Linked DNA regions of Oreochromis niloticus. Each later gene encodes a partner of the first gene's protein in a complex. Links are inferred from orthologs where the notes say so. Each region holds a gene or a part of one and is shown in the gene's direction. Other genes may lie near its edges. The genes, in order: alyref, thoc6, chtopa and thoc2.

Region 1 (7,723 bases):
ACATAAGATCAACGCAAAATAGTGACCGGAATGACCGTGGACCACAGGAGTATGTCGAGAAGAACCCAAATCCTAATCTACATTGTAAGTTCCAGCAAATGTTTATTTTTCCATCACACTAAAAGATGAAATCGGTAAAGGACGTGCTGATTAACTACTCGTTTCCTTTTGTTCTTGCAGCTTTCACACCAGTGGACCTGAGTGACCTCAAAAAACGCAACACACAAGACTCCAAGAAGTCCTAGTCTTTCTCTTAATTATCCCATTGCTTTTTTTTTTTCTTTCTCCCATACATTATCCTCGAGAACTTTTCCTCCGTCAGCCCTCTTGTCAGCCAGAAAGTTATCGTTGTTGGTCAGTCTAATACAGAATGCAAATCTAATTTCTAAACTCTGGACCATAGCAAAGCTTCTCTTCCTTCACCCTCGAAGACTGACTAAAAAGAAAAAGTTGGATTTCTTCCCTCTTCTCTCAGTTCCTGTTTTTTCCAGTCGCATTCGATATGTGGACGGGACCGATGCAAAGATTCATCCAAAATTTGCCGACTTTGTACCTCAGCTTTTTTTTTGTCTCCACAGGACGCAAAAGACTTCAGTCTTAAACGCGACGCTACTACTACTACTAATATGACATGGGAGGAAAATATGAAAGGGCTGACTTCTTATTTGTAGTTTTATTTTGTTTATCATTAATTAAGCAAGTGTAGAAGTAATTGAACATTCACACACACACACTTTATGGGCGAGTTTTCAAAGCCAAAACAGAGTGTAAACAAAGCCAACATTTTTATTATACATTTTCTTGCCCTTGGTCGGACTTTATTAAGTAGAGGGCCTCCCCAAGTATTGATAAATCCCCTCCCATTCCCCTCTTCTTTCCCAAAGCCTTGAAACAAAATGTTGAATAAAAAGACTTTTACATTACTTGTAGTTGTACTTATTCTACATAAATACATCACTGTATTTTTATCACATTAGAATTCTAGTTTTGTATTGGCCATGAGTTGTAATTAGTTTTTGATCCAGTTTATTTTCAGCTAGTTTCCAGAGTTGAAGTTCAAAAATGTTCGGTTAGCTTTTGTTTTCACCAGTATCGGTATTGTTTTAATTGTTTTTCTTTTTAATTATTATAGTATTTTGTTATTTGTCAGATGCAATATTTAAAAAGTCAGCAATTTAGATGTATCCCTTTGCAAGGCACTTGACGCACAGTCAACATGTAGGGCGGAGCAGATGATACTCCAAGGGTAAAGACAACCAGGCTTGACCTTGTTGGGTGATCTTACTATCAAATCATACATATATGACCATTTTAGAGGACTGATATTTCTCAGAACCTCCTTTTTAAGGCAGACTTAAACAATATATACACTATAATGACAAATGTATTCACTCAACCTTCCAGATCACTGGAATTCAGGTGTTCCAATCACTTCCATGGCCACAGGTATATAAAGTCAAGCACCAAGGCTTACAGACTGCTTCTACAAACGTTTGTGAAAGAATGAGTTACTCTAAGGAGCTGAGTGGTACAGTGATGGGATGCAACCTGTGCAACAAATCCACTCGTGAAATTTTGCCACTACTAAATAGTCAACTTTTAGTGGTATTATAAAAAAGTGGAGACGACTGGGAACAACAGCAACTCAGCCACAAAGTGGTAGCACATGTAAAATTACAGAGTGGGGTTAGCAGATGCTGAGGAACATAACGCACAGAAGTCAACAACTACAGACCTCATTCAGATTAGAAGGACAGTGTACAGAGAGCTACATGGAATGGGTTTCCATGGAAACAGCTGCATCCAGACCTTACATCACCAAGTGCAGAGTGTTGGATTCAGTCGTGCAAAGCTCGCCACCACTGGACTCTAGAGCAGTCGAGACGTGTTCTCTGGGGTGATGAACCACGCTTTACTGTCTGGAAATCCGATAGGCAAGAATGGGTTTGGAAGTTGCCAGGACACCAATACTTTTCTGACTGTATTTTGCCAGATGTAAAGTTTGGTAGAGGGGGAATTAAGGTGTGTTGCTGATTTTTAGTAGCTGGGTTCGGCCCCTTAGTTCCAGTGAAAAAATTGTTGTTTCAGCATACCAAGACATTTTGGGCAACAGTTTGGTGGATGGCCCCTTCCTGTTTCAACATGACCACAAAGCAAGATCTATAAAGACATGGATGAGCAAGAACTTGACTAGCCTGCACAGAGTCCTGCCCTCAACCCAACAGAATATCTTTGACATGAATTAGATACTGCAAGACAAGACTTCTCATCCAACATTAGTGTCTGACCTGACAATTTGCGCTTGGGAAGAATGGTCCAAAACTCCCATAAACACCCCTAAATTGTGTGGAAAGTCTTCCCAGAAGAGTTGAAGTGTGGGCCAACATCATATTAAACCCTCTGAATTAAAATTGGGCTGTCACTCAAGTTCACATGTGTGTTAAGACAGACAAGGATTATAGTGTATATGTAGAATAGTACTGGGGTGGCCGTAGCTCAGGAGGTGGATCAGAAGATTGGTGGCTTGATACATCTATCGAAGTGCAAACGTGTGTCAGTGTTTGATAGAAAGCACGTAGGAGTTAGATAAAGCATAGAAATAAATCCTTGTATGAATGGGTGAATGAGAGATGTTGTGCTCAAGTAGGCTCAATTAGCGTAGAAAAGCACTATATAAGCAGGGGTGCATGTGCTGTCAAAATAAAAGACACGCACCAGATAAGAAGTTGCAACGTGCGTTTGCGTACATATGATTTTCTGGAGGAGGACAGACATTTATTTAGAACTCTTAAAGATGTCGAAGAAGCAAGCTCCTTTAAGCAATTACTTTGGCGTTCCTCCACCTCCAAAGAAATGTCAGAAGGAGTCCAAACCGCAAAAGAAGCGCGTATTCTTGGAAAAGTGGTTGCAGGAGGTGAGCTGGCTTCAAACAAATGATGAACGCACAGAGATGTGGTGCAGAATATGCCGTGAAAATCCCACTCTAGCGGACAAAAACAGTGCCTTTTATATGTACGCAAACGCGCGTTTCAACTTCTTATCTGGTGCGCGTCCTTTATTTTGACAGCGAATGCGCACCTTATGTGCACCCCTGAATATAAGAACCAGTCCATTATCATTTATATTACACCTATAGGAGCTTTTTTAACAAATCTCATTATATACTGATCCATTTCGCAGCTTCCACATTCTGGGAAGGCTTTCTACTAAATACCGGAGTGTGTCTGTGGAAAGGTTTCCCCATTCATCAAGAAGCTGTTTGTTTAATTTAGTGGAGTAGATAATTCTATCTTGCTGATTAGTTTAACTTAGCTGAGTGCTTCAAATCTCCAAACATCAAATGGTGATTCTAAACTGGCTGTAGTTAAAAAGGTGTAAATGGTTATTTGTGTTTCCACGTTACCCTGTGCATGGTGTACCCCACCCCTTGCCCACTTTCAGCTCTGCTCGACCTTGAACTGGATATGTGGTTAAAAATATCGATGGATAGGTGATAGATAACTGTGTCTGAACTGACAGAGTGTGCCAGCAAGGGATAACTAAGCCAAGGGTAAAAGGGTCTTAAATAATTTATTGAATTGGACTGGATGAATGCAGGCATTGTTAAAATATCCAAACCTAGTTGTCAGTGCGGTAATCTCAACCTGCACAGCTCTGTGTAGCTGCAGCTGTTATCACACTATCAACGCCTGAAAATTGGATACTATATGACTCAATGCATTTTCTATTTCTAAATGTGGAAAAATTATGAAATTGATCCAGGGGGTAAAATAGCTGTTTACTAAGCTTTAAAAAAAGCAATGTTGAAAATGGTGCTTTTATTCAAAGCACCGTGTTAAAGATTGTCATCCATACAGTTGGATTTTATGTTTATCCATTCCAAAACCAGTTTTGATGTATGTTTGGGATCATCTTCCTGTTGAAACACCAAATGTGTCCAGGTTTCAACCACTTAGCCACTGACTTTAGGTGAAGTGAGGTGATTTGGAAGTGGTCCTACTTCTTCGTTATTCCAAACACTTTGTGCAATGTAACTGTCAGCAGGCAGTGTCTGGCTTAGGTGCAGTTTGGACAATTGTGGGGTGTATGTCTATAGTTTAGCCTGTGCTTTACAATCATTCCACACTGGAAAACGTTAGTTCACAGAAATCATTAAAAGTCAAAAAAATTACCATGACGATCGGTTATGACCACAAATATGTACATATTTGTTCAAACTGACTTACAGTGTTACATTTTCTTTCTTTTTTGTTTTCTTTTATTTCAGTTATTTTATACACACATAGCTGTAGTAGTTTGTGTAATGAAGACTTTCAACTACAACTCAAACTAATGAAATTTACAGTGAAACTGTAAATTTATTTTATTTAATATTTATTTAATATTTAGATTATTTAAATAATTGTAGATTCATTGTATTGTAGATTCATTGTTTCGGACGATACTGTTGATTGCTTCATTGTTTCGGACGATACTGTTGATTGCTTACCGATACTCATCTATGGAGCAAAACAATAGCAATTCCCTGTTGGTAACTTTGTACCAACATCTGATTGGACAGAAAGATGTTACTACGCATTGACGTTTGTCTACGTATGATACGCAACGAAACTGTTTTTCAGCAACCGTCTGCTCATTGTGTTTTGTCGTCGGGGAGAGAGGAAAGGGCAGGGAGCGGGACCATTGAAGTCTAGGGCTGTACTTTTTTTTTTAACTATTTCATTAACAGTTTAGCATTATTGGGGCAGCATAATGACCGATAAAATGGATATGTCTCTAGACGACATTATCAAGCAGAACAGGCAGCAGAGAGGTGGAGGCCGGGGCGGCAGAGGTCGAGGCCGCGGAGGCGCAGGTGGCGGCGGCCGTGGAGGAGGAGGCCCCGGGCGTCTCGGAGTCAGCGGTGGAGGATTTGGAGGCCGAGGCGGCGGATCCGGCCCGATGAGGAACCGACAGATCCCGAAACGCGCTAGAGGCAGACCAACGCCTTACAGCAGGGTATGAGAAAGTTAAAGGAAAAGCCTTCGACAAAGCTGAAAATGCCTGGTTAACGTCGTTCTGTAGCTAATCCCCTAGCCAGCTTGCTAGTCAAGCGAATAAAATGATTGCTAACCGCCGAGTTTTCCCTTCGGAGGAGAGCTCTATAATTGGCGGCTATGCATTAATGGAAGTTGTATGCATATTGTGTCCCTTCTCCCACAATCCATATGTGTTGCATCCTTTTTCAAGAGGAGCCCTTTTTGGAGAGAGCAGTTGTGTTAGCCGTGTTGGCTAACTAGCTAAAGTTGGATCGTAAAGGCCGAAGCGGCGCCATTTTGAATCAAGCACCTTAATTTAGAGCTAGTCGTCCAAGGTCCATATCGGTGCTTTTCCACCTCTTGAGTGAAATTGATGGTGAAAGGAAATCGCATCAACGAGAAATTCTACCCGCACGCTACTATCGTGGGAGCAAAATTCTTCTTTTTTTTTTTTTTTTTGGTCAAGTCCCAGCGCAGCGACCAGACGGCCTTTTGTTCGGGAGTGGCTGACGCTCTTCTCAGCAAGGCCCATTTTGGTGGCTATTCAACCGGTGTGGCTGTTGCTTTTTGGATGGATCAGTGGACTTTAAACCTCCTCTCTGATAATTTTCATGTTAAGGCAAATCATCACTCCTTAAGTGTGAATGAATATCTAAACAAAGCCCCAGTCAAAATGGCGTGTCTCAAAATGGACGCTCAGATAATCCACGCTCATTGATGGGGGGATAGCTGGGCCCCCTTTCGGTTTGTTTACATCCCCATCCCCACTCTCGTGTTATGGACATTTCCCCCTTCATGAAAGCCCTTTTCGTGGCTTGGTAAAGAACTCTTGGGCGGGCCTGGAAAACATGGTGCAACGCTGGAGGCAACGCTGCTTCAGATGGCGACCCCCTGTGTCCCTGAGGATCATATCTGGAGGGCCTCTGGTGGAGGTGCAGCTGGCAAGAAAACAGTGGGCAATTTTTGTAGCTAGCATGGGAGGTTGTTTGGGTTTTAATGTAGAGGTTATGGGTGGGAGTGGGATATAATAAAATCAGTTGGCTCTATTTGAACTTGGTCATTGAAAAGACATGTACTTTAAAAAAAAAAAAAATGTATCCAAAATGTATGCATGTACAGGTTGTATACAAGACATCCCCTTGCCTTTTAATTTTTTTTATATATATATTAAGTTGTCTTGTGTATGTCCTTATCTGTCCGAAGTGATTCACTTGCTTGTAGTGATGGGGTGGGCAGGGAATAGTGGGGATCCTCTTGGGGGACCTGAGCACCCTGACCATGTTGGAAGTGGAGCCCCTGCTTGCCCCAACACCCAGCCGTGTGGACTCTGTGAATGACAGAGGGCAAGGGGATCCTGAAGTCAGCAGGTGCGTTCTCTTTCGTCTGTTGCAGCCTAAACAGCTTCCAGATAAGTGGCAGCACGACATGTTCGACAACGGCTTCAGCGGCTTCAATGGTGCTGCTGGAGGTGGAGGAGGAGCTGGCGTGGAAACTGGAGGGAAGCTCCTCGTGTCCAATCTCGACTTTGGGGTCTCAGATGCAGATATTCAGGTATTTTAAGTTGTTTGTGATTCTTGGCCTGGGTTGGTGTGTTTAACAGTGTGGATCAAGAGGACCAATTGTTTTGGACGTGTGTTTGTTAGGAACTTTTTGCTGAGTTTGGAACTCTGAAAAAGGCTGCAGTTCATTACGACCGATCAGGAAGAAGCTTGGGAACTGCAGATGTCCACTTTGAAAGGAGGGCAGATGCGCTCAAGGCCATGAAGCAATACAATGGCATCCCACTGGATGGTAAGTCTTACGTTCTTTGACCTGCCAGTGCAAACAGTTTCTTAAAGTTTGCTGCTTCTGTAAAGATTTTGAGGTTCATGGTGTTTGTGTTTTTAGGGCGCCCTATGAACATTCAGCTCGTCACATCACAGATCGACACACAGAGACGGCCAATGCAGGGGTAGGTTGATATTTCTTTTTTGTTTGGGAGGGGGGGGCAGCAAATGTATTGATGACTTGATGTGTAAAGGCTCCTTTATCTTCAGTCTGAACAGAGGCGGCGGCGGAGGAGGCATGATGAACAGAAGTCGTGGTGGTGGCGGCTTTGGAGGCATGCAGAGAGGCCGTGGAGGGCGTGGTGCAGGTGGCCCTAGAGGACGTGGACGAGGCGGCCGTGGTGGTGGTAGTAGTAGCAAGCAGCAGCTGTCAGCAGAGGAGCTCGATGCCCAGTTAGATGCCTACAATGCCAGGGTATGTTTACCTGAAACTTGTAAATATGATTTCTTCTGAGTAACAGATTGTCCATTTTCTCAGATGTCTAATTAACTCTTGGTTTGTTTTCTCAGATGGACACCAGCTAAGAACGTAAAAACGAGCTCCTGAGGGTCGTCGTCCCTTCCTGTCTGCACAGAAGGGTGGCTGTTACAAATGTGCAGAATATTTTACACTTGGTTGTCTTCTAATGTGATTGAAAATATTGCCCCACCTCTTGTTTTAAATGCTCCAAAGTGTTTTTTACCAGTTTTGTTTGTGATAATTTTTTTTTTTTTTTTTTTTTTGTTTGTTTGTTTGTTTGTTTTCTTTTCTGATGGAAAAAATGGTTTCGACTGTAGGTTCTGGATCTGGGTTTCCCCAGTTTGTTCTTCTACCCTGTAGTTAAACACTTGTAATAAAAACCTGCAGTGCATATTAACCACATTAAATGTCCCAGTTTT
Region 2 (7,705 bases), about 20 Mb from region 1:
CGCTCAGTAGCTGTAACCATTCACATGGCACTCTGGCCCAGAGCTCACCTGTCCCTGGGCTTAAATCCCCTTAATTACTGATGTGAGTCAGCTGTGTAAAAGAGAAAGGCAATCCTCAGCTGGTCCATTCATCAGTCAGCTGACTGTCAGAAAAAACAAACTTATACCAAAATAAAAGAAGATAAAGTAATCCCAAAAATCCCATCAAGTAATACTTCACAATAAAAGTCTAATCAGATCTAATCGACATGATTCAGCTGCACTGGTGAGATGGTGGCAAATACCAAAATGTTTTAAACTGAAACAACATTTTATCGGCACTTTTTCCCTTTTTTGTACAAAATTTCCCACATTATGAAGATTGAACACTGTTTATCTCCCTTTTGTTGTCTTATATTTATTATTTTTCAAAATATCACAATGTCTCCCAGCCACACGGGGACCACAAGCCAGTGTAGTCCTGGTTCAGATAAACTAGGAGGGTTTTATCAGGAAGTCCATCTGATGTCAGAGCAAACATGCACATCGTAAAGATGAGATGGTCAGGTTAACGAGCACCTGTGGTAAGGTGAAGATAGAGACGGAAAGATGGAAGGAGCTCTGTGTGGAGCTGATGAATGAAGCAAGAGAGCAGGATGGAGGAAGTGAGGTCAGCCGAGGTTATCACAGCTAACTGAAGCCAAGTGTGAAAAATCATTTTAATCAACTCAAGTAAAAATTGAATTATTTTGTAAACTTGCAAAACAAAATAAAACAAAATAAAACAATAATAGAGAAGAAATGTGTTTGTAAGTTTGGTAAAAAAAAAAAATTAAAAAAATCCTGTTTTATTTTAATACCTGCACTGACTCATGCCAATAATAATACTTAGAAAGACCAAAACTAAGAAAAACTTGAATTGAATTGAATAAGAATAAGAACAACTTTATTTATCCCGAGGGAAATTCTTTTGTCATGTACATGCTCAAAGCAGCAGGAGAGACCGAGGCACAGATGAAATAGATATAAGATATACAATATATATACAATAAGAATAGTGTACAGTAATATACAGTAGGATAGTGCAAGACAAATAATCGGATAACTCTAACAAAGTAATATACATAACTATATCCTGGTGAATAAATAACTAAACTATCAGTGCAGGCGATTCTAGAAAGTGACAAAGTATTGTGCAATAGAATGAAGGGAGTAGCAGCGTATGATGGGGGGATGAAAACAAATATTCAATAAGTACTCTTGGGTAATATTGCACGGTCTGGGAGGGAACAGAATAACATAGGTAATAGTCTCAGGAGAATCACCTACAGAGTGAGGAAGAGTTAAACAGTCTTATTGCCACCGGTACAAAGGATTTCCTGTGGCGGTCAGTTCTGCATTTCGGGGCAATGAGTCTTTTGCCGCGTTTGCTCCGATGGTCCATCATGGGGGCGTGCATGGGGTGGGAGGGGTTGTCCATGATAGAAAGAAGCTTTTTTAGCATTCTCCTCTCAGACACCTCCTCCAGGTTCTCAAGTCTGACACCCAGGACAGAACCGGCCTTTCTAATCGGTTTGTTCAGCCTGTTGGCATCAGCTGTCTTCACCCCACTTCCCCAGCACACAGCTGCAAAGAACACAACGCTCTCCAACACCGAGTGATAGAACATGGTCAGGATTTTCCTACCAACATTGAAGGACCTGAGCCGCCTCAGTAGGAAAAGCCGACTCTGCCCTTTTTTGTAGATAGCATTGGTGTTCTTGGTCCAGTCCAGTTTACAGTCCAAGTGTACCCCCAGGTACCGGTAGTCCTCAACGATCTCCACGTCAGCCCCTCTGATGGTGACAGGGGTAGGAGGAGGAGCCTGCTTCCTAAAGTCCATAATCAGTTCCTTTGTCTTTGTGATATTAAGTTGTAGGTGGTTTAGCTCACACCACTCGACAAAGCTGTCCACCACACTCCTGTACTCCTCCTCCTGTCCATCCCTGATACAGCCCACAATGGCAGAGTCATCTGAGAATTTCTGCAGATGGCATGACTGAGACTTGTACCTGAAGTCAGATGTGTAGAGGGTGAAAAGGAAGGGTGATAGGACCGTCCCCTGTGGCGCCCCTGTGCTGCTCAGGATGTTATCTGAGCGGCAGCTCTTCAGTCGGACATGCTGTGGTCGACTTGTTAAATAGTCCGTAATCCAACCTACCAGTGGGGCGTCCACCTGCATTTCCGTGAGCTTATTCCCCAGCAGTGATGGTCTGATCGTGTTAAAAGCACTGGAGAAGTCAAAGAACATGACCCTCACAGTGCTCCCAACAATGTCCAGATGAGAATAAGCCTGGTCCAGCAGGTAGATGATGGCATCCTCCACACCGATACGAGGTTGATAAGCAAACTGCAGGGGGTCCAGCCAAGGCTCCACCAGCAGCCGCAGATGTTTTAGGACGAGTCTCTCCAGCGTCTTCATGACATGTGAGGTCAGAGCCACTGAAAGCCTTTATTGTCATTATACATAGTATAATGAGATTAGAAACAGTGCTATAAAAGTGCACAAGTGCTTTAGCACATTATAAAAACTATACAATAATTTAACTATACACTTAATATAAATATAAATACACAGTACAGTACTAGATGACAGAGACAGACAGGCAGAGAATTGATGATATTTCAGTGCAGATCACTTTTGTGCAAGTTTGAGTTGAGTATGCTGATGGCTGCCCCTGAGTCTGTTTGTCCTGGCCTGAATGGATCTGAAGCGCCTGCCAGACGGCAGTAGGTTGAAAAGATGGTAGCCGGATGGGTAGTGTCCTTTGAGATGTTTCTGGCCCTGCTGAGACAACAGGAGTTGTAGACAGCAGACAAGGAGGGCAGGGGGCAGCTGATGATTTTTTGTGCTGTGAACCGAACTGAACCGACACAAGAAAATGTGCTCTGGAAACTAAAGTGAATTAAAAACTCAAAATGAAATAAAAATACAAAATCATTTGAGAGTATAAAACTATGATAACTCTGAGAGCAGCTAAGACGAGGGTGGAGAGTGGAAAGAGACTGGTCCGGATGAGATCCATCGTTCTGCCATGAACTCCAGTGAATATGTCTGTGTGCAGCTGTGCGTCTCCTGGAAGGATTTCCACAGGTTCAGGAGTGTTTATGGGAAGTGTTGATCGTTCTTCCAGAAGCACATGTGTGAGGTCACAGTGATGTTGGAGGAGAAGGCCTGGCTCACAGCCTCCGCTCTGATTGGTCCCAAAGGTGTTGGATCAGGCTGAGGTCAGGACTCTGTGCAGCCCAGTCTGGTTCTCCCACACCAAACCGGCTCGTCCATGTCTTTATGGACTTTTCTTCGTGCACTGGTGTGCAGTCATGTGGGAACAGGAAGGAGCCATCCCCACACTGTTCCCACATACTGGGAACATGAAGGTGTCCACAGTGTCTCGGTCTGCTGAAGCACGAAGACTGCTGAAGAACACCCCACACCATAACCCCCCTCCACCAAACTTTACACAGCGCAGTCAGACAAGTACCGTTGTCCTGGCAACCGCCAAACCCAGACTCGTCCATCAGATCGCCAGATGGAGAAGCATGATTGGTCAGTCCGGGGAACACGCCGCCATTGTTCTAGAGTCCAGTAGTGGCGTGGTTTACACCACTGCATTCAGATGTTAAGCTCATCTGAAGGCCACATGACGTTTGGAGGTCTGTAGTGACTGACTCTGCAGAGAGTCAGCGACCCCTGTGCACTCTGCGCCTCGCATCCTCGCACCACGGTTGACCACTTCATGGCTGAGCTGTTGGTGTTCCCAGTTGTTTCCACTTTGTTATAATTCCACTAACAGCTGACTGTGGAATGTTAAGTTGTGAGGAAATTCCACAGCTGGACCTGTTGCACAGGTGGCATCCTATGATAGCGCCACGATGGAGTTCCCTGAGCTCCTGAGAGCGAGCCATGCTTTCACACATTCTTTCTGCATGCCTAGCTGCTGACTTTAAACACCTGTGGTCATGGAGGTGACTGGGACACCTGAATTCAATGATTTGGCGAGTGAATACTTTTGGCAGTACAGTGTACCTGTGCAGGTGTGGAGACGTCTAGGAGAGAGGATGACACTGGTGAGCCACACCACCAACATGTGCAACAGAGATGTTGAAGCTAGGTGATGATTGTCGAGCAGCAGTGTGGCTTCATGCTGAGGAAGAGCTGTGATGTTAGTGCTGATGGAGAATTTTAGATGAGAAGGAGCTTCTGTGTGTTTGTGGATCAGAGGAAGCAGATGATTGACGGTACTGCACGAGGAACCATGAAGAAGTATGTGAGGGTGGTGCAGCACACGTATGAGGACAGCGGTGAGGTGGTTGAAGGTGGAGGTGAGAGTAGATCAGGGATCTGCTCTGACCCGCTGCTTGTTTGCAATGCTGATCGACGGGATGGCTGATGAGACCAGGCAGGCGTCTCTGTGATCTGCAGGAGGGAGGAGGGAGGCTGAGACGGTCTGTACGTGTGCAGAGGAGGGAGAACGATGATGATGAAGCTGATGACAGGAAGAGAAGAGGAAGAGCTCAGTGAAGGTTCGTGGATGCAGTGAAGGAGGATGTGCAGAGGAGGACAAGCCGCTGAGGAGAAGAGGCTTGTCGCTTCTAAAATACATCTCCCAGAATCCTCGGGGCTAGTGTTGGTGACGTCACATTCCTTCGCCCTGGTCCGCTCTTTCCCTCCTCTGTTTGAGTTTTGGTTCCTTTGCTTCTGTTTCGGTGTTTTGTGCCGTGTTCGCCTTAAAGGAGCTCGGAGAGTTTGTGTGAGCAGCATGGGTCCCGTGGAGGTGAGGCTTACAACGTTTATCTCAGCGGAAACAGGAAATAGAGAAACCGGCTGATGTTTGAGAGTAAAGCGAGCTTCGTGCTGAACGATAGAAAAATCAACAAAGAAGTGAACGAGCTCAGATTAGTTTCAGGTTTTCTCTGTTTTACCGGAAAACGGACTCAAAACGAACTCCGTTTAAAATTCCACTGAACTTAAATTCGAGTCTTTAACTAAAATTTAAGAATTTAAATTTAAGAATTTAAATTTTAGTCGCTTTTTAAAAAGTTGAGGTGAATGTGATGTGCGATAGATTTACTGACCGGAAGTGATCAGTATTAGTAACAACCTTTGCTGCGAGTCATCTGTTTATAGATACATGCACGTTTATTCACAAACTGCTTATTTAAAGCTGATTGGAATGTTTACACTCAGGCGAATAAAGGTGACGTCACATGACTGCATGTCCTGCACCACGTGGTAACTTTAAGTTACCCAGATGTCCCTGCACAGGTGTGGTTGTTCACCTGTGTTGTGGTGCTTGGACTAACGCACCTGTCTGTGTCTGCAGCTGCTGCACATGTCCGTGTTCTCTCAGAGTTTCTCTCCCTGCGGTCGCTTCCTGGCAGCTGGAAACAACTACGGCGAGATCGCAGTGTTCAGGTGAGTCAAACGCACCTGGTTCGACTCGCCTGCGCTCACTCGCACTGAAGGGCCACACCTCTCATTTCTCAATGCTGTTTTTTCCAGTTTGTCTGCAGCTCTGAGTCCAGACTCCACCGCGCTCAACCAGAAACCCGTTCTGACCTTCACAGGTGAGTGTTCGGGTCAAAGGTCACCCTAAACCCACGAAGCCTCTGCAGGATGGCGAGGACATCACAGGCGTACCTGTTGGTGTTTACACCTGCACTCGAACAGTGGCAGAAAAAACAACAACGTGATTAGAACCGAGGAAGTCTGAGCTCACTCACATGAAACACACTCACCTTTCCAGCCTTTTGTTTCTGTGATAGAACCAAACATTTATCTGTTTCCTGCACATGAGCGCTAAACATCCTGTCACACTGGACGCTCCTGTGAGGCGCTGAAGCGTCGTTCAGTCCTTTTGGTGACAAACATCTGCGTCATGCTGAAGACACTAGAAATAAAGAATCAGTGAAAACGTGAAGGTTCCAGCTGATTTTAAACCAAAACTCAGGATTAAGCCTGCGTCTGACCAGGTGAGGGCTTCAGCATCAGTTACCATGGTGATTTAGACAGGTAGAAAGAGAAACCTCTGAGTCTAAGCTCGACGCAGCTCACCAACAGTAAAAATATGACACACTGTAAAAAATAATGCTGTAGTTCCTGTTTACACCACCAGGTGGAGTTCCAGGTGTGTTTGTGAGTCAATATTTTTGAGGCTCATTTTATTGTGATTTTTATTGCAGCTTTGTGGGGAGTTATGGTTTCATTGGGACTTTAGTGGCCGTTCATTGTGTCCGTGTTGATTTTGGACACACTGTCCTCACAGATTCCTTTTTGGTCTTGTTGTCCTGCAGCTCATGAGGGGCCGGTCTTTTCCCTTCTGTCCACTGACTGCCACCTGCTGAGCGCGGGAAATGGAGAGATCAGCGCCTGGAGCTGGAGCGAGCTCACCAAGAAGGTAACCTAGAACGCCTTCAGGGACACACAGACGGAGAGGAAAAACGAGTTTGCCTGATTTTTGTGTTTCTGCTTCCTCAGAACGTCAAACCTCTGTGGACCCGAAGACCGAACTACAAGTGAGAACCAGCCTTCCACCCCTGCCTCCTGTCTGCTTCCCGTCTGCCTCCTGTCTCCTTCCTCACTCAAACATCTGCTGTCTCCTTACAGATCCAGCCTGGAGATCCCAGAGATCAACTCCATGACCATCAACTCCAGAGTGAGTACACCTCCACCTCTCTCCTCTGCTTTTCTTCATCGCATTAAAGCTGGCCCACCTTTACGAACAGAAAAGACTGGAACCTGAAATAAAACACAAACCTGTGACAGTATGAAGAGTATCCTCCTCATCGTCATCGTCAGAGCCGCTGGTTTACTAAACCCCTTTGTTTGTTTTTGTATTTTTTATTGAAGTCCTTTTATTATTCTGACTTTTTAAACACTTCTTTTTACTCTTTACTCTTTTTTAAGTTTGAATGTTATTTAATTTGGTGTTTTTAGAAGGGATGGAGCATGCACTGGGGGGCTAGTTCCATTTTTGGGCCTTTTTTCTGATGATAATGAGGATATTTGTGTTTCTGTCGGACGTGTCGCTCCAATGTGTCATAAGGAGTTGTGTTTCTGTGTCAGGATAACAGCCTGGTGGTTGGAGGAGGCGATAACAACATCCATGTCATGGACCTGGAAAACGGTGTGTTCAAGGTGAGTGGGGAACAAAACTGACTCCACGTTTCATGTTATAACCGCTGAGGTATTTTTCTCCTTACAGCATGTCACTGTCATCCGTGTGTGTGTGTGAATGATGACTTCTGCTGTTAACGTGTGAGTTTGTGGGGACCGATTCACTGCTGGAGCCTCTGCTGGACGTCAGAGGAACTGCAGTTTTTTTACTTGGACGTCCGTGTGTGCACTGAACTGTTTCACACCTGTTCAATCTGATTTTCATGGCAGCATCTGTTGGGGGAGTTCTGTGTTTCCATGGTGACGGGTTTGTGTTGTGTCTTCAGACCGTCCTTCAGGGTCACTCGGACTACGTCCACTGCGTGACTGTAAGAGAGAGGGAGGCGGAGATCCTGTCGGGGGGAGAGGACGGAGCAGTGAGGGTGTGGGGTGAGTTCACAGGAAACATGGGACTGTGAGGAGGATGGTGAGGATGAGGATGGTGATGGTGAGGATGATGGTGATGGTGATGTGATGACATTAGTGATGATGAGGATTATGGTGATGGAAGTGATGATGAAGGTGATGTGT
Region 3 (7,555 bases), on another chromosome or scaffold:
GGGGGGGCTTATTCCAGGATAATTTTTTAAATCAGATGTGACCCTTGTAATGAAAATTCATTTTAGATACTGTCTCCCAATAACAAGGCAGAGGTGTTGAGATTGTTGCAGAAGGAATGGACTCAGTGAAATGTTGACATTCACACTCCAAAGAGAGAACAGTTTTGTTACCATTTACAAAATGTCAGATCTGTGAAGACGAGGGATTTCTCCTAATGCGGTGACGATTTGGTAAAAATGACAGACAACTAAAGACACTATGCTCTACAGGTACATTTGCATTTAAGTATCTTTAAGTATTTAATGTGTCTATAGCTGAAAATACAATTCAACATGTGCAGAGAATTTACTTTCCACAAGTAGGCAAGTTTCTACTCTGATTTATACAAAACAGTCCCTCTAAGTACTCTATTAACAATACGCATCTGCTTTGAAACTACTCCAGGGCAAATGTGGATATTAAACAGCCACAAAATTAAGAGGGGACAAGCTTGTGCTTTTTAACTGCAGGACAAATAAGAGGCAGCGAAACAAACTACTCAGATCACATCATGACAGATAGCCAGTAGTCTACATTTGGGGCTTTTCTGATACAAAGTCTTATAATAATTTACATTATCTTCAGGTTTTAGTAAAAAAAAAAAAAAGGGAAAAAAAAGAGAGTTTATTTTAGGAAAATGTTTGGATTAAAATACACCCTTTCAACAACATTAGTCATGTTGCATGGGAGAAGGTCCTGAAGCAAATGACCTCCATGTGCCAGTGGCTCCAGCAGCAACCACAGAAACTGTTCATAACATCACAGGTAAAGTATCTTCTTCTCTCTTGCATGTTGTAACAGGAGCAACATTTCTAACATTGCAGTCATGGATAGAAGTATTTATTGTACATTATATGGACAAAAGTTCTGAGCCACCTACATATTACACCTGGACAGGGAACTGTAACAACTTTTTCTGATTTTGGTTCTGTAATTCACCACAATGAATTTTCAATTAACTTGGATGCAGCTGAAGTGCAGACTTTCAGCTTTAATTCAGTGGGTTGAACAAAACGATTGCATAAAAATGAAAGGACCTGGATCTTTTTTTAAAACACAATCGCTTCATTTCAGGGGCTCAAAAGTAATTGGACAAATTAAATAACTGAAAATAAAATGTTCATTTCTAATACTTGGTTGAAAACCCTCTGCTGACACTGACAGCCTGAAGTCTTGGACTCATGACATCACCAGATGATGGTTTCCTCCTTTTTAATGCTCTGCCAGGCCGTTACTGCAGCAGCTTTCAGTTGCTGTTTGTTTGTGGGCCTTTCTGTCTCAGGTTTAGTCTTCAGTAAGTGAAATGCTCAGCTGGGTTAGGATCATGACTGACTTGGTCATTTAAGAATATCCCACTGTTTTTCTTTAATAAACTCCTGGGTTGTTTGGGGTCATTGTCCATCTGTACTATGAAACATTCAATTTGACTGCACTTAGCTGGATGTGAGCAGACAGGCTGTCTCTGAACACCTCAGAGTTCATTCTGCTGCCTCTGTCCTGTGTCACATCATTAATAAACACCAGTGTCCCAGTGCCACTGGCAGCCATGCACACCCGAGCCATCACACTGCCTCCCCTGTGTTTTACAGATGATGTGGTATGTTTCTGATCATGAGCTGCTCCACACCTTCGTCATACTTTTTTTCTTGTCATCATTCTGGTAGAGGTTGATCTTGGTTTTGTCTGTCCAAAGGATGTTTTTTCACAACTGTGCTGGCTTTTTCAATTCTTTTTCTTAATCAAAGTCCAATCTAGCCTTTCTATTCTTAAGGCTTATGGGTAGCCTGCACCTTGCAGTGAACCCTCTGTATTTATGTTCATGCAGTCTTCTCTTTATGGTAGACTTGGACATGGATACAGCAACCTCTCCTGGAGAGTGTTGTTCACATGGTTGTGATGGGGTTTCTTTTCACCATGGAAATGATTCTGTGATCATCCATCACTGCTGTCTTCTGTGGCCGTCCGGGTCTTTTTGTGTTGCTGGATTCACCAGTGCTTCCTTTCCTTCTCAGGATGTACAATCTTCCACTTTTCACACCAGTGAATACCACTTCCAGTTGATTGTGTATTATCTTGGAGTGAAAATTCACCAACAGTGGCGTCTTGTACACTTCCACACTGCCATACAGTGAGCTCTCTACAATGACCCATTCTTTCAAAAATGTTTGTGAAGGCAGGTTGCAAAGCCAGTGATTGATTTCACACAGATGTGGGAATAAAAACATCAAAAGATTAAGAGCTGTGGCTCCTATAGTTTTGTCCACATAGTGTATCTATTTATTGAGTGCATTAGAATTATTACATAAATATCTCCACTGTATTGCAAGCCCGTACTCTGAAGTTGTCAAATGGTAAGCAGACAGCAGCTTGGAATTTCACTGTGACAAAAGCAGTGCAGAACATCAGCAAGGTATTAAACAAAAAGACAAGCAAATGTCAAAGGAAGACTGGCCCCTCCTGTTTTTTAGCTTCCTATAATCACAATCATCCTTTGCTGCTGATCAAAATAGCTCACAGTATTTGCTGTGTGGAGCAGAAGGAGGTTCAAGGTGAGGTTCATGGTTTACTAGGTGAGCGGGAAGCAAAGACGCCCGAGGTCTCCAGTATTGTCTTCCTCCGCGCCGTCTCTTTGGCCACGTTGTGGTTGAGCCGCCTCAGACGTTCCTGGACAAAGAAAGCTCAGGTTGTGTAATGTTGTTTCTGTATTGTTTTTACACCATTTTGAGGCAACTTGAATAGTTAGTATATCTGTGGTCGCCATGGAAATCGGAATTACAAGTCTCTTCATACAGTATTTGTAGCGCTGGTGATGGTAGCAATATTATTAATAGCAGTAATTATTATTTATTATAGTGGAAGTTGTACAGTGGTAGTAATACAACCAGTGCTAGTGTATAATTGGCAGCAGTATAAATAGTTGTAAAGGTGCACTGGTACAGAAGCAGTCAATTCAATTCAGTTTAATTTATATAATCACAAAAACATAAAGTAAAGAACTTCTTCATTTCTTGCTGTACAAAAGTTTTAAAGCAGCTTTAACTCTATCTGGAGTTGTTGGTCCAGCTATAAACACAACAACAACTTCCTTTTAACTCAGCTTGAATCTGCTAAAGATAAATATCTGGGTCTAGAGCTGCTAAATGCTCCACTATGTTCACTTGCTACTTTCTAAGGCTGGGATTCTACTTGCTTACAGACATGTACACCAGTAAACATCAGGGCCAGGAAACTGGTTCTTATTATACTTATTTTTCTTAAAGTCAATCTCGTCTACCTTGAGCATGTGTGCACTGCAGAGTCTACCTAGACAATTATAATGGAGTAAAACAATTATTTGCCCCATTTGTTGCATATTTGTCACACTTGCATGTTTCAGAGTATTAAACAAATTTAAATATTTTGCAAAGATAACCTGATGATTTCAAAAAGTTATCCAAACCTACCCAGCCCTATGTGAAAAAACTAGTGTCCCCTAAACCTAATAACTGTGCTGTGGCAATGACATCACACAGACACCCTGCAGTTACAGCTGTACATGAACATGTGGATGAAGTCGGGCAATGTCAGGAGAATCAAATTCAGACAACTTCCATAGTTACTCTACCTCACATGTTCTACTCAGGTGGCACACGTGATCCCCACTCACTGTTCTCTGGTACCGCCCTTATCGGGGCTCAATATGACATTAGACTAATTTCTTGCCTAATGTCTGATGTGACCAAGGCTGTACAGGCATGCTGACAGGGGCAGAACATGTGATACAATTTCTCGGGGGCTTTAAGAAGCCCAGCTACAGACTGGTACCGACCTGAGCGTTCTGCAGTATGTTGTTTACTAGCACAACTCTACGCCTCGCATTCAGCAACTTCTTTACATATGGGTCCAGGTCCAGAGCCACCTTCTGATGTTCGTTTATCCTGCATAACTCTGAAAAAACCAGCACGTTATTTATGAATCTTTTATAGCTGATGCTATATTTGAAGGACTTCATGCAGGACTTTACCTGTGGCCAGACCGTCTATATGTTCTCTTAATTCCACTTGGCTTTTTCTGCAAAGAAACGAATAGTCACGTGAGTCCAGAGAAAACTGAACAACAAAACAATCAGTCTGACGGGGAAAGTCAGCTGACTGTCAATACATTGGAGAGAAAAAGCTAGCACGGTTTGCAGTCTAATCTAACGAGGAAGCTGATTACCTGACCGAGTTTACATGCAGATCGAGCTGCTGTATTGCTGGTCTCAGGAGGTCGAGCAAACCCTCGGCAACAGCATCGTTACCAGAAGAACCTTCGACTAAAGCTGTAGCTGCCATTTTACTGAACCAGCACGAGCGGACAGGAAGTCGTGTCCTCGTGACGTCAGCGTCACAAGAACCTCTCCATTTTCTTCCCATCAGTGTAGCCAGGAGCACCATTTTAGGCTTTCGGATCGCGGAGGAGTCTCGATTCCCACGTTTTACAATATTCCTGGGAGAGTTTGATATAGGGTCGCTTACTCACGCGCTTTTTCAAGCCGCGCGTGCGTGGGGAGTTAGTATATGGTAAATTGTATTTAAACAGGATACAAGGACACCTATACGAAGCCGCTGTGCTGCTAAAGCTAACCTTAGCTAGCTTTGAGGCATTTCTCTACCAACGCAGAATCCGCTGTAAGTATGAGATAAAGTTGTTATTCGTCGATAAACGACATGTTAGCGAAGACGAGGCGGAATCGTTACTCCTTGTTCTTGTCTCTGCAGTTTGTTATAACCGGATGGGCGCTCGCTAAACATTTCATTTTTCCAGCGGACGTGATCGATAATTGTGTTCAAATTAAAAATTTCCCCTAAAGAATCGATCATTTTAAATGCCGTTGACACAGAAAAGAGTTTAAAGAAGTTGAAAACTTTGCTAAGTCAACCAAACTGGCAGTCGGGCTGGTCTGAAGTTTAGCTTGGGTGGGAGGGGGTCGTGTGTTACTCCTACCAGGAGGACTGTTACTTAAACGATCCCAGTAGGATTTGTGTGAAACTGTGTGTAGTCCTCAAAATAATCTCTCTGTTAAACACACATGTAACAGCTGTAGATGTTAATTACAGCAAATTCCTTGCAATAGCGATTTAACCCTGGAGAACCCATGGGGTCAGATCCGACCCCATTGGTTTTCTAGGGAAGCCATGGGGTCAAATTTGACCCCATGGCTTCTCCAGGGTTAAAAGTGGTCATTTAACATCTAGTAGTAGTGCATACATTATGTGTAAAAGAGAGGGAGGTGAAACAAGTTCTGTCTTTTCTGTTTCCAGGACTCTACAATCAAAGTCTTTCAAAATGAGTGCAGCTGCCTCCCAAAAAGTTGTCCTGAAAAGCACCACCAAAGTGTCCCTAAATGAGCGGTGAGAGGCTACGCACCCTGTCAGAAATTAGTCACCTGCTGCCAGCCTTGGCTTGTGAAGGTTCTAATACTCTCTACGGAAACCTACTGTTGGGACCAAACCTGTTATGGATGCAGCTCTGGCTGTTCCCCGTGTGTGCGCTGCTCATTCAACTCTGTTGGCCCTGTCCTTGTTTGTGTTACATGTAAATGAAGTGTGGGGCAGAAGGGGCTTGCCCAGGCCAAATGTTTTGTGTGAGCAGCACACACATGTAGATGAGGGGTGACTGTAGCGGTCGTGGTTGGTAAAGCATACGCAGAACCAGACCACCGTCCTGTAAATACCTTGGCACGCTGGCTCCCTGTTTAAACAGCACTGTATACGTCATGTATACACCATTAAATGGGGCAGGAGAGCAGAGAGCTAAAGCTAAGTCACTGAGATGGGGCATCTTGTCTTTTCTGCCTCTCATCTTTTTCTCTCTCAGACCAGTCAAAGTGAAGCTTTTTATCTCCTCATGTTCTACCATGTCTGTCTTCTTCTTCTTTCCTCCTTTCCCTGCTCAGAGTACTCAGTCCTAGCTTGGACGTGACAAGGGACTACCCCTTCCCCACCAATTCCCTAGTTCCGGACCACTTGGTGGTTTAAATAAAGTCACGGTCCATCCTGTAAGTGGCTGGGTGCCAAAGCACACCTCATGCCCTGGCCTCTGCTGCTGCGACATGATGACATCCCCGCAGTGTCAGCTGGAGGCTTGTAAGTGGCAATTGTGGCTCTTCTTCTGAAACTTTCTCTCTCCTGTCCTGAAGTCTGCTTTCAACTGTTTTTTCTCCTTGTGTTAATTTTACAACACGGGCTAAAGTCAAGTGTAAGTAACTCTGGAATATCATATGATCGAGAGAGAAAATAAGTGCCAACAAGTGGAACAAAGTCTAACATGACTAAAGAGCTGCCACGATCATCCATATGAGAAATGACATGATGTGGAACCCTGCTTCCTCCTCCTCTGTATATCCCCTGTCCCCTTCTTTTACTTCCTCCTTCTTTTTCCCTCCCACCTCTAAAGCTTCACTAATATGCTGAAGAACAAGCAACCCACTGCGGTAAGCATTCGAGCCACCATGCAACAGCAGCATTTGGCTAGCGCCCGCAATCGTCGGCTGGCCCAGCAGATGGAGAACCGGCCTTCGGTGCAAGCTGCTCTGAATCACAAGCAGGTGAGCGCGACGTTCAGGTGAAATTGGTGTCCGTGGCACTGTTGGTTCGATCTGAGTATGTTTAACCCAAATTAAGGCTACGTCCACATGTACATGGGTATTTTTGAAAACGCAGTTTCTTCTGTGCGTTTGGGCCTTTGGTCCACACGTACACAGCGTTTTGCATCACTGAAAACAGATTATTAAAAACTGTTTTTGTGTTTATGTGTGGACGAAGAAAACAGAGATTTAGTCACTCAACGCCAACGGTGTGCACCTTTTTTGGCATCACACGTTATTGTTTACATGAGATGAATTTCTACAATGATGTTGACAAAATACTGTTGCTGTTAATCTGAGTATCTGCAGTTTTTACATGCTTACGTATACAAACACAGTTTAGAAAGACATCTTTGTTTACACTTTCCCTCCCAGGCTGCTCGACTTCTGATTGGCCAACATTTCTACAGGGTTAGGATTGTATCCAGGGGTGCACATAAGTGGTCCGCAGGTGCGCATTCGCTGTCAAAATAAAAGACGCGCACTGGATAAGAAGTTGCAACGCGCGTTTGCGTACATAAGATTTTCTGGAGGAGGACAGACATTTGTTTAGAACTCTTAAAGATGTCAAAGAAGCTCCTTTAAGCAATTACTTTGGTGTTCCTCCACCTCCAAAGAAATGTCAGAAGGAGTCCGAACCGCAAAAGAAGAGCGTACTCTCAGAAAAGTGGTTGCAGGAGGTGAGCTGGCTTCAAACAAATGATGAACACACAGAGATGTGGTGCAGAATATGCCGTGGAAATCCCACTCGAGCGGACAAAAACAGTCCCTTTTATATGTACGCAAACGCACGTTGCAACTTCTTATCCGGTGCGCGTCTTTTATTTTGACAGCGAATGCGCACCTGCGGACCACTTATGTGCACCCCTGATTATATTGCCACCTGTTGCTTTGGCATGTTTTCGAAA
Region 4 (7,500 bases), on another chromosome or scaffold:
GTCTCCCTGAGATTGAAGTAAGGTTTTTCTGTGAGCGAATACGCCGTCGTGAATTTGAATACGGTGCAGTATTCACCTTCAAACGTCACTCGTAAACATAAAAATGCGTCTCTCTCTTAGGGACATGTATTTCTCCTAGGATCCTCTTGCAAAATGTTTCATGTTAATTCTCATCACAGCCTGCCACTTTAATAATAAATCAAACAGCTCACTCATTGTTATGGCCACTGCGTGTGTTCAGTAAAATTCAAGGAGTGTAACAAATGATTTTCTCTGGCAGAAGAGAACAGCAGTAGCAGCAGCGATGCGGTTTGGATGAACCGTGAGCAGAATGTGCAAACGCCAGTGATGATGCATTCACCCCATCTAACTTCCACTGTACTGAGGGATCCAAAGAAAATGAGGCCAGAGGACAGCTTCACAGCCACGTTCACCATGCCAGCAGAGCAGCATCCCCATCAGCCTGTGCCCCCTCAGCAGCAGCAGCCACACCCTCAACACCAGACTACCATTGATTACAAGTAAAAAATATATGTATTACATTATTGCATACATGTCCGCAGAGGTTTTAGTTGCAGTACAGTATGTAAAGCCACTTTTTTAAAACTGTGGGAATTATGAAGTAATGAACCCTGTTCCACAGTACCCAGGTTACTTGGATGCTGACACAAAGGCAACAAGCTGAAGCCCGTCAGCAGCAAGAGCGGGTTAGCATGCACTACGCCAAGATGAGGAACCACATGCAGCAAGCAATGTAAGAAGTTCAACACTTAACTGTTTTTGGCCGAACTTTGAGCCAATAAAGAGTCTGACAAAAAGCAGTCTACTGACGTGTTATGTTTTTGTTACTCGTCACAGTCGTCGAGGCTCTGGGCTCATGGAGGATGATGAGGAGCCAATAGTGGAGGATGTGATGATGTCATCTGAAGACCGCTTGGAAGATATCAATGAGGGCATGGATTTTGACACAATGGACATCGATTTGGTAATTAAAAAAAACCAAAAACAATAGTCTAAATTTGTCTAGATGCATGTTTAATCATTCCAGTAAGGAAATCCTAGGAAGTTGATTCAGCTGATTTGGATGTGGCATTTTCAGCAGGAGATGAGTAATGAAACATTTCTCCCACTGAAAATGCAGCATCCAGATGAACTGAACCAAATTTCCGAGATAATCTGAATCATGTGTTAGCAGAGTAAGCATCCTTCAGTAGTCTGGTCATGCCAGTCCTTCCAATAAATAAATAATAAAAACAAATGTTGATGTTAAAATTTATAATTTTTTTAACTGTATATTTTTTTTTTTCATCTTGTGGAGTATTCTTCTAACTGAGCTGTTACCTTTCAGCCGGCATCAAAGAATCGCAGAGAAAGAACCGAACTGAAGCCAGATTACTTTGATCCATCTTCCATCATGGATGATTCGGTAGGAGTATTTCACTCCTTATAATAACTTTTTCACTGTGTTTTGGATGGCACTGGTTACAGTCCTTGAGATAAGTTCATGTTCTTGAAACGATTTTTCTTAACTGTTTGAGTGAATGCCCAAGTAAGCATGATAGATCAACGTACAGTTCACACATGCCTAGCCTTATTTGGTAGGAGTCCATTTTCTTGTTATTTATGACCATTTGATTAAAGAAACCCAAAGGATGAACCGCTTTAGGTGTAAAAACAGCCACATATTTCTCATCTGTTCATCCTGTACACTTAATATATGCTTGTTTTTATTTGGTTCTGAATTTTTAACACTGCTTTTTTCTTTTGCCTTTAGGTTCTCAATGTTTCAATGTTTTAATATGAAAAGGACAGCATGTCATCGAAATCCTGGGACGGTGAAATGACTCTTTATAAATGAGAGTGGACTGGACTAAGTAGGCTTGTGAGACACCAATGTTTGCCTCTTTAACACTTTGTTAAAACTTAGGAGTGCTTGAGCTTGGATTTGAATTTTATTCTGCTATTTTCACACACCGGATTTTGGTCACACTGCGGCAGAGATGTTTCAGTTTTTGTTCAGTTGCCCTAAAAAAACTTGATGCCAGCTATCACTTGGCTACACTTGTTATAATGTGTGAAGCGTTACAGGTACGGATATTGTGTGGCAGTTTGCATGGTGATGGGACAATAACAGGCCAAAATTCAATTGAATGATGTATACCTTTAAACTCTTTAAGTAGACGAAAAATGTCTGTAAATACATAGCGGCCAATATACAGGGAGGGTGAACACAATTTCATGAACACCAGAAAATATAATAGGCTTGCAGAATAACACTACTGTTTTGATGCTTGTAGTGTTCAGTTATTGTTGAACACTATAATGACCCTGCACTTTGTTACAGAGGTGGTAATTGAGCTGGATGGTTATTTTTAAGCTTTGCATCGAGAAACTATCTTAGGTGTAAACGAACCCCCTCTCTGATGCAATCTGAACATACACTGAACATATAATGTTTCATAATGGCAGCAGTTATTAAATGGCTACTGCGTTATATTGGAAGGGTGTCAGTGGTATTGTTGTTCACCTTCTGAACTTTTAAACTGTAGATTCTGGCATGGCATGTAGCCATATATCGAAACATGTACACAGTAAAGTATAATGTGAACTGGCGTGTCATACTGTTTAAAGGCCTTGCCACAAGTTATATATATACAGCATTCTCAGATTTCTTTGTGATGGTATTTTTTAGAGACATGTGTTCTGCTTTTATACCTTCTAGATAACTTTGATTTATAGATATTTTGTAATGACAATCAAATGTAAATTAATGGTTTCTATTAATCATGTTATTTCACATAGAGATTAAAATGATCCTTTTTAAAGGAAATGATTATGTTACTATAGATGTGGCCAGCTGTATTTTCTTTTCGTCTCTCTGTAGCGAACGGGTACAAACGTACCTCATTGCTCAGATGTAGTAATTTGACAAATTGAGGCTGCATCTAAAATTATTTTTTAATGTTGGAAGAAATCACAATGTTGTAAAATTTTGACTCGACCTCAAATATGTAATCTCTCCTATATATTAACTATTTTTTTCCACTGTATAGTATCTAGTAATATCTAATATTAGAGACATGCCATGATTGCAATCTTTAAAAGAAAGGATTTTTAAAATGGTTGAGAACGATGTGTGTTTGTTTGGTTTTGTTTTGTTTTTCCTATTTGCAGGTGTTCAGAAATAGTTTTTCAAACTGCCAGTTTGGTTGGTTTGCCACTGCTGCGTGTATAAGAGTTATAGAAATATTCTAAATTACAAAGCTTCTAAATTCTTTAGCCAACAATCATAGTATCAGAATTGTATATTATACAGTTACAAATGTGTAATATATTGTGAATCGGTGCTCATTTTATATTTACTGTTTCTTTTTGTGTGAAATTTTGGGGAATTGTCAAAGGAAAAGAATGTAAGTCTTTGACATTAATCTACTAATTTGTAAGTGCACACACAGTGCATTGTTTTTTTCTTTGTTTTACCGTGGATTGTTCCGGTATTTCCTCTGTGTATTGGCCTGGCTGGCAGAATCAGACTTTATGGAAGAAGGTGTAATCATATTGTAGCTGAAAATGAATACCTTATTTCCTCAGAGTGTCACTATAATCTGGAGAATCAAATCATCTGGTCTTAAACATTACCACATACATAATAACTATTCATGTTAGGCAAATGAGAAAAACACCTCTTAGACTTGCCTGTAAATTTACATGACTCATGTCATTTTGGAGCTTTTCTGTTTTGCATCAAACTGCTGAAAATGTGCAAACATCTGTACGTTTATACATATTTAAATATTTGCATATATTAAATTTGTGTTTATATTCTATTTACAAAGTGCCCATTGCATCCTTTACTGTTTGTATTTATGTCTGGAGATGTAACATGAACAGAATAAACCCTCTACAACTGTGTGATGATTTAATAACACAGCAATAAATATGATTTGATATGGTATTAGAACACCTGTACTGTAACTATAACTGGCTTTTACTGATGAAACATGAGTGCACCGGAGGATTATGGAAATCGCAGCTGTCCTGTAGTTTGTTATGTTTAGGTAGTTCTTAGAGAAAATGTTACCGGTAGATTTAAATTGGGTTGTTCAAGTGTCACGGGATTTTATTTAACTAAAAAAGTTAAATAGTACAACGTGGAGAATCAAACTTATTCCCAGACTACACGACCATCACCACCACTCCGTGTGAAAACCTCGGACGCACAGCTGTCGATGTCCCACAATGCAACAGTGATCTAGCAGCGGCGGCTAACCACCACATTTGACCCTGTGTGTGCCATGATGATAAACTAGACATCCGGGCTGTGTGCATGGAAGATGGCGACACTTACCCTTCCTGGTGAATGGATCAAAAACTGGGAAAAATCAGGAAAACATGAGTTGTGAGTGCATCTGAATTTCAACGCAGTGTTGAATTTTGCATTTGTTTACCCGTTGTTTGCGAATAAAAAGTATCAAGAATGACGTAGCTAGCATTCAAATATAAGGCCGGTCTTTAGGTGTGTTAGCTTTAGCTAAGCAGCTAAAAGATAAAGTGGCTTACAAGTGTCACTTACTTAAAAAACAATACGTGTAATTTAGTTGCTGAGTATTGAATATAGTTAATTTGGTAGACTTGTGAAAAGAAGACTTCAATGGCTTTGAACGTCACCGTGGAAGCTAATGCTGTCTGCTAGCAGTCAGGCTAGCTTTACGCTCCCATTTGATTCGCCGTCAATGTGTAAACACTATGGCTGTTAACGCTAAGCGAGCTAGCATACACATAGCATACTCTTCTGTTGGTTCGATATCGCACTATCCAGTAAACTGGCGTAAATGTACTTCCAAAGTTCAAGGAATTAGCAGCCATCAACTTCGAGCAGACAACCGAGAATCAGCTGGCGAGAAAACCCCTTGGGCAGCCTGTTATAAACCTTAACACTAAATAATCGTGTGGAGGGAAAACAACGGACATTGACAAAACGCTTTAGCAGATTAGCCGTAACGTTAGCTACACTAATTGTTGTGTTGAATTCCTTTTCGTATGCTTTAATGTTTAGGCGGGGAAGCCTGGAAGAATAAAGATGACGCTTTTTGATTCAGTGTAACAAAACGTATCATTTGACGATATATTTTTTTAGGAGATGAAGATTTTAATCATAATGTTAACCTAGCTACAGCTAACGTCATACTTTTCTTAGCTGGCGTTAATTTCACCTAGATAATGGTGTAAGATAGCCGCTGTACGGTTTGCATAGAGACTGTGGACATAGCCAAGGTTATTCATCGATGCACATCTGTGCGCTTGGTGCTGTATAAAGGCATCTCGATTACCAGAGTCAACTTTATCACTAACATTACATGTCAAACTTAATAATTTAAGCAGTACTGTAAAAGCCTCTCCCAACACCTTGATGTACGGCGACTGTTATCTTAAAATTAGTTTCTTTAGAACAAAAAATACAAGAAAAACGTTGCGTGAATGATAATTTCACGCATTAATTTTGTGCGCTGCCATCGCCTTTGAGCTGAGACACAATAGGCTCATCCACAGTACTAGCTACGATTATGTGCTGTAGGCCTTACATATTTAAGAAAGGCCTGCAGTGGGATGCACCAACTCAAACTCTCGTTCCACTATCTTGTGTCAATAACTGATAGCACTTTAACTGGAAATTATGCCAAACAGTTGCAACTACGGGGTAACCATTAAAGTATTTCCATCAAGGCAAATTACCCGTTATACCAAAGCTGAGTACATTGCAGTGGAAGTGTTATTTGGCAGCACAGTGAGATGCCATCCTCTGTGATGACAGGCAGTAAATGAAAAGGTGGATTTCGTGTTGATACTAAAAGTATCACATTGTTATTACTTAACCAATATTTTTGACCTTATAATTCATTGATATAAAACATTGTGGACCTCTGGATCTACATCTTTTTTTTTTTTTAATATCATTTAGTCATACCAGTTGAGTTGCAATTAACCAGTCCCAGAGGCCAGGGTTTAGTTTAAAGTGGTGAAAATGTTGTCAGCCTCATTATACAAATAGCAGCTTTGCTTCGTTTGACCTTAGAGGCTCCGGCAATCCAAGGTGTCCGCTTGCTGTAACTCTGACTTTTTGTAGCATTTGCACTTCTTGTTCACAGTGTGTTTAGCACCTGACAAGCTGTTATCTCTAACAATTAAGCTGATGGACTGCGTTGAGTTTCTTACAGAGGAAAGGAGCTAGTGTGCTCCAGTGTGTGTAATTATACCTTTTAATGAATGGGATGTGCATGGCAGAACGTGCTCGATTAGTCTGCCTTTGTCATCACTACTTCTGATATTTTAATACCAGTCAAGCTGTCAACTGGGTGAACCGTAAGTCTTTCAATCCACCAGCTAAGCTATTGGACTAGTCACAGTCAGTTTAAGAGGGAGAAACATGGCACTCAGTAAATACTAACTATAAATCTGTGTGAGTGTTTGGCAACAGAAAAGGTAAGGGTTGTCCCGCCCAAAGATTCAGTCAGTAATCAATCCAGCAAACATAAGAGCCAGTGCTATTGTTATATGCACACACAGCAGTTTCAGCATAAATACTCGTGTAGTGACAATGTAGGTAATATAATATTTCTTGAGTTACTACATTGATAATTAGGATAAACCTAAAGCTTTATCCGGTGTAATGTTAAGACTGGATTAAGGCGTAAATAATGCAATAGTGTTATGTGATCTAAAAATATAACTTGGAGGAAGTGAACGGGATATTACAAGAATAATGTTATGTAGAAATTGTTGGCACGGAACAAATGGATTTAAATAAGTTTTCATGCATCCTGGTTCGTTCATTGAGCTTTATAAGGCTTTTCATCATCATGTTTTTGTACTCTAGTTTAATTTAAAAAAGAATTCTCTCTTTACTTCATAGTGTACAACTCTGCAAAGACCTTACAGAGAAAGCAGATCATGGAAGTGAAATTAAAGGTGAGTTGAGTGTGACCCTCGTTCCTTTAATAATATTCTTGTATGCATCTGTCACTGTATTTTAGCTTGCTCTTCATGCACACACGTCCATTTTGGGAATTCTCATAGTTTCCAAAAAGAATGCAAAAGGTTTAAAATTATTTACCAAAAATAGATTTAAAAAATAAAATCCATGAATTTCAGAAGTGCTGTCTAATTTTTGAAACACGGTACTATTCATGTTTAACAATGGCTGTAAGGTAGAAGGGAATTAAGCAGCCCATGTGGAGATTTCTGTTTGGTGTGTGCTGACACATGTCACAAAATTTCAGATAACACTGTAATCAAGTGATTTTATATCCAAAAGGTCAAATTTAACTAGGGCTGTTCGATATAACGATATATATCGGATGACGATACAAAAACATCTGTTGTTTCCTATTACGCTATCGTTTGTTTCGTGGCGTCATAAAATAAACTGTTTACAGCAATATTTTTTTCATCGTTTTGATGCTCACTGTAGTGGATATATTAATTAAAGTTTTCGCTTTCTCT

The links.
Region 2: alyref (region 1) and thoc6 share a complex: the UniProt entries of both Homo sapiens proteins name them as parts of the transcription/export (TREX) complex. The link is inferred for Oreochromis niloticus from reciprocal best matches to the Homo sapiens genes ALYREF and THOC6.
Region 3: alyref (region 1) and chtopa share a complex: the UniProt entries of both Homo sapiens proteins name them as parts of the transcription/export (TREX) complex. The link is inferred for Oreochromis niloticus from reciprocal best matches to the Homo sapiens genes ALYREF and CHTOP.
Region 4: alyref (region 1) and thoc2 share a complex: the UniProt entries of both Homo sapiens proteins name them as parts of the transcription/export (TREX) complex. The link is inferred for Oreochromis niloticus from reciprocal best matches to the Homo sapiens genes ALYREF and THOC2.

Annotation. Positions count from the first base shown.
Region 1 is NC_031969.2:13,796,842-13,804,564, forward strand, and holds the start of alyref (THO complex subunit 4), read left to right. Parts: upstream 1-4,609; 5' UTR 4,610-4,752; coding exon 4,753-4,998; intron 4,999-6,410; coding exon 6,411-6,569; intron 6,570-6,661; coding exon 6,662-6,809; intron 6,810-6,905; coding exon 6,906-6,969; intron 6,970-7,054; coding exon 7,055-7,259; intron 7,260-7,354; coding exon 7,355-7,369; 3' UTR 7,370-7,723. Other genes in the region: mcrip1 (mapk-regulated corepressor-interacting protein 1), read left to right, coding at 1-84, 181-245. UniProt on the Homo sapiens protein: Functions as an mRNA export adapter; component of the transcription/export (TREX) complex which is thought to couple mRNA transcription, processing and nuclear export, and specifically associates with spliced mRNA and not with unspliced pre-mRNA.
Region 2 is NC_031969.2:34,256,328-34,264,032, reverse strand, and holds the start of thoc6 (THO complex subunit 6 homolog), read left to right. Parts: upstream 1-4,634; 5' UTR 4,635-4,778; coding exon 4,779-4,793; intron 4,794-5,342; coding exon 5,343-5,434; intron 5,435-5,521; coding exon 5,522-5,586; intron 5,587-6,312; coding exon 6,313-6,416; intron 6,417-6,496; coding exon 6,497-6,534; intron 6,535-6,625; coding exon 6,626-6,674; intron 6,675-7,084; coding exon 7,085-7,156; intron 7,157-7,461; coding exon 7,462-7,564; intron 7,565-7,705. UniProt on the Homo sapiens protein: Component of the THO subcomplex of the TREX complex which is thought to couple mRNA transcription, processing and nuclear export, and which specifically associates with spliced mRNA and not with unspliced pre-mRNA.
Region 3 is NC_031985.2:35,541,758-35,549,312, reverse strand, and holds the start of chtopa (chromatin target of PRMT1a), read left to right. Parts: upstream 1-4,362; 5' UTR 4,363-4,689; intron 4,690-5,322; 5' UTR 5,323-5,347; coding exon 5,348-5,412; intron 5,413-6,457; coding exon 6,458-6,608; intron 6,609-7,555. UniProt on the Homo sapiens protein: Plays an important role in the ligand-dependent activation of estrogen receptor target genes. May play a role in the silencing of fetal globin genes.
Region 4 is NC_031975.2:10,793,396-10,800,895, forward strand, and holds the start of thoc2 (THO complex subunit 2), read left to right. Parts: upstream 1-4,244; 5' UTR 4,245-4,334; coding exon 4,335-4,399; intron 4,400-6,910; coding exon 6,911-6,966; intron 6,967-7,500. Other genes in the region: stag2a (cohesin subunit SA-2a), read left to right, coding at 281-521, 644-754, 859-985, 1,349-1,426, 1,775-1,798. UniProt on the Homo sapiens protein: Component of the THO subcomplex of the TREX complex which is thought to couple mRNA transcription, processing and nuclear export, and which specifically associates with spliced mRNA and not with unspliced pre-mRNA.